Macaca mulatta: one gene and its partner. The protein of the gene in region 2 interacts with the protein of the main gene of each other region in a pairwise test. Links are inferred from orthologs where the notes say so. Each region holds a gene or a part of one and is shown on either strand. Other genes may lie near its edges.

Region 1 (5,199 bases), on a different chromosome or scaffold from region 2:
ATGTGGTGGCCGGCGCCTGTAATCCCAGCTACTTGGGAGGGTGAGGCAGGAGAATCGCGTGAACCCAGGAGGCAGAGGTTGCAGTGAGCTGAGATCATACCATTGCACTCCAGCCTGGGCAACATGAGCAAAGCTCCATCTCAAAAAAAAAAAAAAGGAAAAAAAAATAGAGGCAGCCAAGAAAATGAGTCAAGGGATCACACCTCCCAACTTCTTAATGCCCCCTGTGGATACAGATCTGTCACACCAAAGGTGTACCAAGGCCAAGGTATCTATACAAGAGTCCTTGTGCCTGAAGCAGCTTTGGCTAGCTCCAGCTGTGGTCTTACTGGTTCGTAGAGTAACTGCATGCACATGCATACCAGAGGCTGTGCTAAGCCTAAGGGATGTCATGGTGAGCAAAATTCAATCCCAGCTGAGAATTCAAAACCCTCAGAGGCGAACTATCACAATATAGTTTAGTTAGCAGTTGGTCCTTGTTGAAAGGATACAGGGAGATAACCCACGGACAAACTGGGCCCATTTGGTGCAGTTTCCAAACTCTTTAGGGTGAGCTGGGCCAGGAACTCTGTGAGGACCTTGTAAGGCCAGGATCCATGTGCTTAGGGTCCATTTTTGGAAAAACCTGGTCACTGAAGCATCTCTACTTTCAGGGTCAGCCTGGTCCTTCAAATAGGCTGAGGCCTATTTCCCCATGTTTCAAGGACATTTAACTATGTTTTTGTAAAAATAAAATGGCGAGACCCAAATAAAAACCTTACTTTTTGTTTAATTTGTTTTGCCAAACAAACACAGTGAAAACTTTAGTCTGACTAATTGTACAGAAAATAGAATTTGTAACCAGTAGCAAACAAAACAGGATAAACCTAAATCCCTGGCAAGCTGGATCTCCATCAGCAGGTCATCCAGATCCCCTTGTAAATGGTCTCCTGGGAAAATAAATCCTAGGAGGCAGAGGCACAGATTTACCAGTCCCCATCAGAATCACAGGCTGCACCTGGGAAGGAAAAGCATGAAAAGGAGAGCTGATGTTACTTGCATCTCTTATCACTACACACATTAGAGTTGTCTGACTGCTGACCAACCTTAAGGTATGGTTTATTCCAAACTCATAGTCCCTGGACATATCACCTGCATCCCTAGAGGGTAAGTTTCAAGTTCAGTGGTTCTGAAGCCTCTGCTTAACCAGAATCTGCAACAATAACTGGGGAAGAAGGGTAGACAAAGTCATAATTGCTGGTGTCACCAGGGCAGAGTCTAAGGCCCCAGCTTCCACTTCAGGAGGAAACAGTTGAGGATGCCAGGTCACCAGCAAGAGAGTCCAGCTGCCTTAAGCCTCAGTACTGTCAACCAGTGCCCCAGGAGTATAGAGGAGTTCAACAATGGCCTGCAGTCCCCTGGCTGGATGGGGTCTGGGAGTCCAGCAGGCCGCCGGGGCACCAGTTCACATTCCGTGCTTCTTGCGGATGACAGCCATGGCAAGCAGCCGATCCTTCTCGCGCAGTTCTTCGCGAAGCTTGGCCTCGGTGAGACGCAGATGGCGAATGCTGCCTTTCATCTCTTTCATCTTCACTTCCATCAGCGCCAGGATGTCCCGCTGCTCATTCAGCTTGCGCAGGAGCTCCTCCTCCGTGGTGCCTGACGACAAGGAGTACGAATGGTCGGAGCCAGTATCAGGGAAACCCTCTTCTCCTACCACCACCAACTGGGGGCCCATAGGGCACTCGGCAGCCTCCAGCCCTGCGGTAGCAGCCTGTAACTCCGACGCGGCGGCCGCAGCGGCTGCGCCCTCTGTGGCTGCAAACTCAACTTGCACTGTAAGATCGATGGGCTTCACGTCTTCTCCAGTGGGAGTGATGGGCGTCGGCGGCACGGATCCCGGAGCCTGACTGCTGTCTACAGCGGCCTGAAGGGTAAGAAGCACGGCCGCGGAAGCAGACACCAGGTTCGGCTGCAGCTGGGAAGTCTGGGCAGTGGAGGCAGAGGGTGACGGCTGCTGCTGTTGCTGCTGCTGCTGCTGCTGTTGTTGTTGTTGTTGTTGCTGCTGCTGCTGCTGCTGCTGCTGCCTGCGGCGGGCGGCCGCGGCCCCAGCGGGTCTGCGCGCTACTTTGCGCTCATTGACGCCGCGCAGCGGGAAGATGGTGGGGACGCGTACCGTGTAGGTCTTGCGGCCGCCCTGGAAGTGAACGCTGCAGAGACGGTGGCCTGTGGTGGGCTGGAAGGTGGAGAAGCACCCACTGACGCCGGCACGCGACACGTTCTTGAGCCAGAGGCGCCGCAACTCAGCGTCCTTTGGAAACGTGTAGAAGTGCAGCGCCTTGTCTCGGTGCGAGTTGTTGTAGCAGCCTGGCACGCAGCACGTAAAGCCAGGCATGGCTGCACCGCGCGGCCCGGCCCGGCCCACCGGCCTCCTGCGCCCTTCGACGGCCCAGTGGCTCCGCCGCCGCCCGCCCCTCGACGGGCGGCGCCGCGCGAGGCCTTGGGTGGTATCCCACCACTGCCGCTCGGCGCAGCCGGCCCGCCCGGCGCCCCGTGCCCAGAATACGCTTCCTGCCGGCCCGCGCCGCGCCGCCCGCCTGGCTGCCCGCCTGCGCTCGGGAGTCGGCCCCGGGGACGCCGCGAAGGACCGCCTGAGAAAGAGACTACGCCCCCCACAATGCCCCGCGCCAGGAGCCGCTCACTTCCGGGGCGGGTGTGTGCGGATTCCGGCCGCCTTCCAAGGCACGGCGCCAGCTTCCGAAGATCGGATTCTTTCTCCAGCCCGGCTTGTCCCCGGCGGGCGAGAGAGGCGTATTAGGTTGGAACGCTGTCGCCTGGACTGCTCCTTACGAGGACCCGAATCCTGATAGGGGCGTGGAGAGGGGCGGTGCGCGCCTCACCGGTGCGCAAGCGTGGTGGGTATATGCCCACGGAGACTACAAATCCCGTGATGCCTCGCCCTGAACTGGGCGCCTGCGACCCGAAGCGCCGCCTAAGGGAAAGATCGAGTTACTGCGGACCAGTATTCGGGGGAGGTTGTGCTGTTTGCCAGAACCAGTCCCCCATCCCTGAGCGCCTTTGAGTCGACGGCATTGCTGCAGCAGAGGGAGACGAAACCTGGGCCTCGGCGCCCCGAAGGGTCTCAGGAGCCCCTTTGTCTGCGTTGGGGACTCTCTCCTGATTCAGCTGCTGCCTGCGTTGACTCCCTGACCTAAACAAAGTCTCCAGTAGACGCCTACTATGTGGCTGACCCAGTGCACGGAGTTTCCGGGAGTCAGACCGACTGGGCTCCTCTCTTGGAGCCTGACTGCCTAGACGGATGAGCCTCTGTCTTTTGGATAATAGATCTGAATGCACGCGAATGGATGTCTACTCACAGAAAGTAATCGCTCTAAAGGAATGAACAGGAGAGCAGAGAAATGGAAGCGGGGGAGGGGGTGGCCAGGAATAAAGAACGAAAGCTTGGGTAGGGAGAAGTACCCAGTTCGTGTCCCGGGAACCAGTCTGTAAGGCCACATGGCAGAAAAGAGCTAGGCTCCCCCCTTAAAGAACCTGGAAGGGGGTGGCCCAGGTAGACCAAGCGTAGGAAAATACCAAACTGGGACATGTTAAGGATTTGGGGTTTTATTCTGCAGGCCACACTGAGAGCTATTAAAGGATTTAATGCGAAAGGATTTGCATTGTAACAATACACCTCCCCCCATCTCAACTTATTTGAGGGAAATTTTTGTGTGTGTGTGTAAAGGAGTCTCACTCTGTCGCCAGGTTGGAGTGCAGTGGTGAGATCTCGGCTCACAGCAACGTCCGCCTCCTGGGTTCAAGCAATTCTCCTGCCTCAGCCTCACGAGTAGCTGGGACGACAGGTGCACGCCGCCATGCCCGGCTAATTTTTTTTTTTTTTTTTTTTTCAGTAGAGAAGTGGTTTCACCATGTTTCCCAGGCTGGTCTCGAACTCCTGCGCTCAGGCAATCCGCCCGCCTCGGCCTCCCAAGGTGCTAGGATTACAGGCGTGAGCTAGTATCACAGCGCCTGGCCGGGGGAAAATGTTTTAAAGAACACAAAATGTTGTGGAAAGCCAGGGAGGGGCCAGGCAGTCCTTCAGGGGAATTACCTGCAAACTAGCCCTCCTCTGCCGAGTTCTTCCTTCTCCCAATTTTTTAAAAACTTATTTTTGGTTCGGGGGTACGTGTGAAGATGTATTGCATAGGAGAAGTCGTGTCACTGCGATTTGTTGTACAGATTATTTCATCACCCAGGTATTAAGCCCAGTACCCAATAGTTATCTTTTCTGCTCCTCTCTCTCCTCCCACCCCCCTCCCTCAAGTAGACCCCAGTGTCTGTTGTTCCCTTCTTTGTGTTCATGAGTTCTCATCATTTAACTCACACTTGTGAGAATATGTGGTATTTGGTTTTCTGTTCCTTCATTAGTTTGCTAAGGATAACGGCCCCCAGCTCCATCCATATTCCCACAAAAGACATGATCTTGGTCTCCTCCCAATTTTTCTTGTCTTTCTTTACCCTTTCACCTAACTCTCACTCCTCATTTTTTCTCTCCTGGTAGCAGGTCACAGGCATGAAATGGAAACCTAATATACATTATTTCTAATTATAGTATTTGACATAAAAACAAAATAGGGCCGGATGCGGTGGCTCACGCCTGTAATCCCAGCATTTTGGGAGGCCGTGGCGGGCGGATCACGAGGTCAGGAATTCGAGACCAGCCTGGCTGATATAGTGAAACTCCGTCTCTACTAAAAATACAAAAAAATTAGCCGGGCGTTGTCTCGGGCACCTGTAATCCCAACTACTCGAGAGGCTGAGGCAGGAGAATTGCTTGAACCTAGGAGGTCGAGGTTGCAGTGAGCCGAGATCACACCACTGCACTCCAGCCCAGGTGACAGTGCGAGACTCTGTCTCAAAAAAAAAAAAAAAAAAAGCTGTGCTTGGTGTCTCAGGACTGTAATCCCAGCACTTTGGGAGGCCATAGCAGGCGGATTACTTGAGGTCAGGAGTTCGAGACCAGTCTGGCCGACATTATGAAACTCTGTCTCTACTAAAAATATAGATCCAGAAATCCAGAAAAAATCCAGAAATGCATTCTCTACTATGTGTAGCCCCTGGTAAAACATATGCATTCATTTAGGCGAATCATTTATACAAGAGTATAAACATGAACACACATATTACATGTTTATTTATGTATTTATTTGAGACAGAATT
Region 2 (5,343 bases):
GTGAGTACCCAGGCCAGAGCCTAGCCCAGGGAGGCAGGGTTGGGTCCCGGTTGGGGGCTCTCGGAGCCTAGGGGCTGGCATCACTGGGGGCCTCCCCGAGCTGCTGCTGGAACTCCAGGCGTGTCTGCCGGTTGGACTCCAGCAGCTCCTGGAGGCGGGCGTGGAGGTGGTCGTTCTTCTCCTCCAGGTGGTCCAGACAGGAGTTGATCTGGTCCAGCATGGAGTTGATGGCAGCGTATTCTGGGAGGAAGGCGAAAGACAGAGCCCAGATCCTGTGTCTCCTTGGGGCTAATGGCCACCCTCCCTCCACCGTTTCCCAGCCTGCTTCCCAAAGGGCTTTGTGCAAGTCCCTACTCCTGCCTGAGCCTCAGTGTCACCGTCTGGAAAATGGGTGGATACCAAAAGAGGAATGGCTTTGAATGAATGACACCTGAGTACTGCATCCTTTTTTCTAGGGTTAGGGTGGTCACAGGGTGGCAAGCCAGTGTCCTACATGGAAGTCCGGCCAGGTGCCAAGTCTCTGCACTTTCTGCAGCAGCTGCTTAGTGGCCAGAGCCCACATTCCTGAGTTGGGCATTCAAGGCCCCTGTCCCCAGATGGGCCCTGTTTGCCAGCCCTTCTGTGGCTCCCTCAGGGTAAAACACCCAGCGGAGTCTCCCAGCCCCTGCCTCCTAGCTAGCCCTGCCTCCCTGCCTCTTCCTTTCCTCTCTCACACCTGCCTTTACCTACCTCAGGCCCTTTGAACATGCTGCTGTCTCTGCCTGGAATGTGCTGGGTCCTCCCATCTTCCTTCCCTCCTCTCCTCCTGGATGAGTCCCACTCATCCTTCAAGTCTCAGTATGGATGTCACCACCGGGAGCCCACCCAATGCCCCAGACTGGATCAGGCCTCTATGCTGAGCCCCTAGCCCTCCTCAGCCCTCCACGACCCTCTCCAGGATTGACTGCTGTGCTTATCTGAGTGCTGTTCTGTTTCCCCATGAAAGCTGAATGGTCCTGTGTTCGCTGCTGGCTCCCTGGCACCCTCACAGTTTTGCAATAAGCATTTGTTGAATGACTGAGTGAGTGAATGAATGAAGCCTCTGACTTTCCAGCCTCTCCGCCATTGCTCAACTATCCCTGCAACCTAGAATGCCTCAACCACAACAGCCCATCAAGGACCAGCTCAAAATGCCTCCTCCAAGAAGTCTTCCCTGATCTCCACTAGAAACCATCACTCCCTCCCCTCCACGGCCACTCCAGAGCTGCCTTGCTCAGCAACACAGTGTCCCTGAGGACTCAAGGTCTGGGCCTGTGCCCACTGCGGGACCCAGTTCTGAGCCAGCCCATGACTCAGATACACTCAGCTGCCAGCTTGAGACCAAGAGGGAAGCAGCCAGTGGAGGAGCTGGAGGAGCCTATCTGGGTTATGGGTGCACTTGTGCCTGTGTTCTGGGAAAGGGCACCCATTCCCAGCCACCCTCACAGAGGACAGAGTCCTGGGAAATTGGCTGCATCTTAAAGTCCAACCCCCTCGTGGTATATAGCTAGGGAAACCAAGGCCTCCGAAGGAACCTGCCCAGGATCCTCCAGGTTGGTAACAGAGTTGAAACTCAGGATTGGACTTGGAGGTCAGGGGCACTTGGGTTTGAATTCCAGCTCTGCTTTACCCCAGCAAGTTGTTGCACCTTTCTGGAAAAAAGGGAAAACTGGGTGGTCGTGAGGATTCAAACATATCAAGAGTTCAGACAGTGGCCAGCGTGGTGGCTCACGCCTGTAATCCCAGCATTTTGGGAAGCCAAGGCGGGTGGATTACCTGAGGTCAGGAGTTCGAGACCAGCCTGGCCAACATGGTGAAACACTGTCTCTACTAAAAATATATAAAAATCCTGTAATCCCAGCACTTTGGGAGGCCAAAACGGGCAGATCACGAGGTCAAGAGATCGAGACCATCCTGGCTAACACGGTGAAACCCCGTCTCTACTAAAAAATACAAAAAGCTAGCCAGGCAAGGTGGCGGGTGCCTGTAGTCCCAGCTACTCGGGAGGCTGAGGCAGGAGAGTGGCGTAAACCCAGGAGGCAGAGCTTGCAGTGAGCTGAGATCCGGCCACTGCATTCCAGCCTGGGCGACAGAGCGAGACTCCGTCTCAAAAAAAAAAAAAAAAAAAAAATAGCCAGGCGTGGTGGTCACTTATAGTCCCAGCTACTTGGGAGGCTGAGACATGAAAATCGCTTGAACCCAGAAGGCAGAGGTTGCAGTGAGCCAGGATCATGCACTGTACTCCAGCCTGGGCAACAGAACAAGACTCCAACTCAAAAAAAAAGAGTTCAGACAGGATCTGGCCACAGCAAGTACTTAGTGGATGATCATTATTATCAATATTTTGAATTCTGTGTCCTGGGATACAGGCTGGGAGGAGGAATTGGGGAGGCAGGTGCCCCACACCCCTCCAGGCCAGGCTTTATCTGTGTCAAGGGTACTTCCCAGTTCCAAGCCTTTGCTTCTGCCTGGGACACCACTGTCCTAAGTCCTGTCTGCCAGCATCCACTCAATGTGACCTCCTGGGAAGCTCTTCCTGATGCTCCCAACAGCATTGCCCAATGCAAACCTACCTAAAACTATTGTGGTGATGGATGCACAGCCCTGGGAATACACAAAAGCCCACTGAACTGTACAGTTTAAATGGGTAAGTTGTATAGCTCAATAAAGCTGTTACCCCAAACAAAACAAAGAGCATGCGCCATACTTACACCACATTTACTAAATCCTCAGTGTATGTTAACATGCCAATCTTTACCAAAGAGAATAATGACAATAACCATTTACTGAACTCTTGCATGCTAGAACCTGCTAAGCATTTCCCATTTATTTTTTGTATTTAATGCTGACACATCCCGGTGCAGGAGACACTAATCATTATTCCTATTTTATAGAGGGGGAAACTGAGGCTGAAGAATGTGAGAAGGGAGCTGATGGTTCTCTCTCCACACCCCACCCCTGCACTTGTAAGCACGCAAAAGGCTGCTCTGTAAGCTGCTGACATTTGGCAAGGCTGCGAGGCTACACCAGCAAAGCCAAGTGGCTGGGGATGCTGACTCGGCAGAGCGACGCCCCCGCGCCCCCCCAACCCCACGCCCCAGCCCGGCCTCTCCGCTAAGCCAAGCCGGCCAAGCTCAACCCTGCCTCAGGTGCCTCGGCCTCCCCCCAGGACTGAAGGAAGTGGTGGAGCAAGGCCCACAAGGGCGAGTGTCCCCGAAGGTGCCTCAATTTCCCCATCTGTAAAAGGGGACTGGTGACCCGCAGCTCTCACGGAGCTGGCGACCGGCTCGCGGGTGCTCGCCCTGCATCCGAGACAGCACCTACAACTCCGGACCCACTCGGGGCGGAATGGGGTGGGTTCTTTGTTCCCTTCCAAGACCCCATCCCGATTCCCCTTCCCGGGAGGGCAGCCCTGAAAAAGCAAGGTTGCTCCAGCAGCCCCCTCGGGTCACCTGCTTCCCCGAAGCCATCCTCCTCGCCTTCCGCTCCCGCCTCCACCGGCATCCCCAGGTCCCCGTTGGGGCCCGACATTGCGGGCTCGGGCGCCCGAAGGGCCGCGCGACGATGGAACGCGGCGACCGTCGCGCCGAAAGCCGGCGCCGGATGGAAGGTGGAGGCGGTGGATAGAACACCGGGCCGGAAGGGTGGAACGCGGCAGCAGATCTCCGCCCAGAGGCCGGGGCCCCACCCCTGAAGCCGGAATCCCGCAGATCTCGCTCCGCCCCGCCCCGCCCCCCAGCCGGAACTCCGCCCCCGCCCCGCGTCCAGACTCCGCCCCCACCGCCGGAGTCTCACCTCCACCTGCCTCACAGTCGAACTCCGCCCATTCCGCCGCTGGCTTCACCCGTCTCCTGGGCGCTGGGCGGGGCCACCACGGTGCTGTCCCTGGAAAAGCCCAGGAGTAGGGAGGTCCAGGAGGAGGGGCGGGAGACCTCCCAAGCCCATCTGCTGCTTCGACCCCTCCGCCTGGGCGAAATCGAAAACGGGTTTCCTTGTTATTTTTTGAGATAGGGTCTGGCTCTGTCTTCCAGGCTGGAATGCAGTGGGGTGATCTCGGCTCACTGCAACCTCTGTCTCCCAGCCTGAAGCGATCCTGCCACCTCAGCCTCCAGAGTGGCTGGACTACAGGCGGGTGCACCACGCTGGCTATTGTATTTTTTGGAGACGGGGGTTTCGCCATGTTGCCCAGGCTGCTCTCGAACTCCTGAGCTCGAGCCATCCACCCGCCTCGGCCTCCCAAAATGCTGGGGTTACCGGCATGAGCTACTGGGCCCAGCCTTGGAAACGGGGTTTCCATACCTCCTGTGGCTTCAGGACATTCCTCTTCACAGCCTCGCTGAGAGTCACGAAGGGTCTCCTTCCTCCTCGCCTCTCTGCCTGCACCCCAATGGAGAACACCCAACACCCCTACCCCTGGATCTGGGCCTTCCTGGTCTCCAGCGCTTCTTTTTTTTTTTTTTTTTTTTTTTTTGAGACGGAGTCTCGCTCTGTCGCCCAGGCTGGAGTACAGTGGCCGGATCTCAGCTCACTGCAAGCTCCGCCTCCCAGGTTCACGCCATTCTCCTGCCTCAGCCTCCCGAGTAGCTGGGACTACAGGCGCCCGCCACCTCGCCCGGCTAATTTTTTTGTATTTTTTAGTAGAGACGGGGTTTCACTGTGCTAGCCAGGATGGTCTCGATCTCCTGACCTCGTGATCCGCCCGTCTCGGCCTCCCAAAGTGCTGGGATTACAGGCGTGAGCCACCGCGCCCAGCCAGCCAGCGCTTCTCTTAGGGCTCATTGCTTACAACCTGTGGGTGGGAATCAGGCTGGACTCCAGCTCTGGACAAGAGAAACAGGAACATTAGGCGGGATGGCTCCCACCTGTAATCCCAGCGCTTTGGGAGGCTGAGATGAGAGGATTGCTTGAGCCTAGGAGTTGGAGACCAGCCTGGGAAACATAGTGAGACTCAGTCCCCCATCTCTACAGAAAGTACAAAAAAAATTAGCCAGACCTGGTGGCATGCACCTTAGTCGCAGCTGCTTGGGAGGCTAAGGCAGGAGGATCACTTGGGCCCAGGAGTTCGAGGCTGCAGTGAGCTATGACTGCACCACTGCACTATAGCCTGGGTGACAGAGTGAGACTCTGTCTTTAAAAATAATAATTAATTAATTTTTAAAAAGTTTAATTAGCCAGGTTTGGTGGCACACCCCTATAGTTGCAGCTACTCAGGAGGCTGAGGCAGGAGAATCACTTGAACTGGGAGGCAGAAGTTGCAGTGACCAGAGATCGTGCCCTTGCACTCCAGCCTGGGTGACAGGGTGATACTTCATCTCAAAAAATAAA

Evidence for each region.
Region 1: the proteins of BBLN (region 2) and THAP11 interact in a two-hybrid assay, tested with the Homo sapiens proteins (2 studies listed by BioGRID and IntAct). The link is inferred for Macaca mulatta from reciprocal best matches to the Homo sapiens genes BBLN and THAP11.

Annotation. Positions count from the first base shown.
Region 1 is NC_133425.1:63,412,664-63,417,862, reverse strand, and holds THAP11 (THAP domain-containing protein 11), read right to left. Parts: upstream 3,398-5,199; 5' UTR 2,375-3,397; coding exon 1,445-2,374; 3' UTR 1,086-1,444; intron 998-1,085; 3' UTR 750-997; downstream 1-749. UniProt on the Homo sapiens protein: Transcription factor, which has both transcriptional activation and repression activities. Also modulates chromatin accessibility.
Region 2 is NC_133420.1:19,530,440-19,535,782, forward strand, and holds the start of BBLN (bublin coiled-coil protein), read right to left. Parts: upstream 3,644-5,343; 5' UTR 3,550-3,643; coding exon 3,471-3,549; intron 2,711-3,470; exon of another isoform or gene 744-2,710; coding exon of another isoform or gene 735-743; intron 435-734; exon of another isoform or gene 420-434; coding exon of another isoform or gene 321-419; intron 241-320; coding exon 68-240; 3' UTR 1-67. Other genes in the region: CIZ1 (cip1-interacting zinc finger protein), read left to right, coding at 735-743. UniProt on the Homo sapiens protein: Essential for intermediate filament organization in intestinal cells, interacts with intermediate filament and regulates intestinal lumen morphology.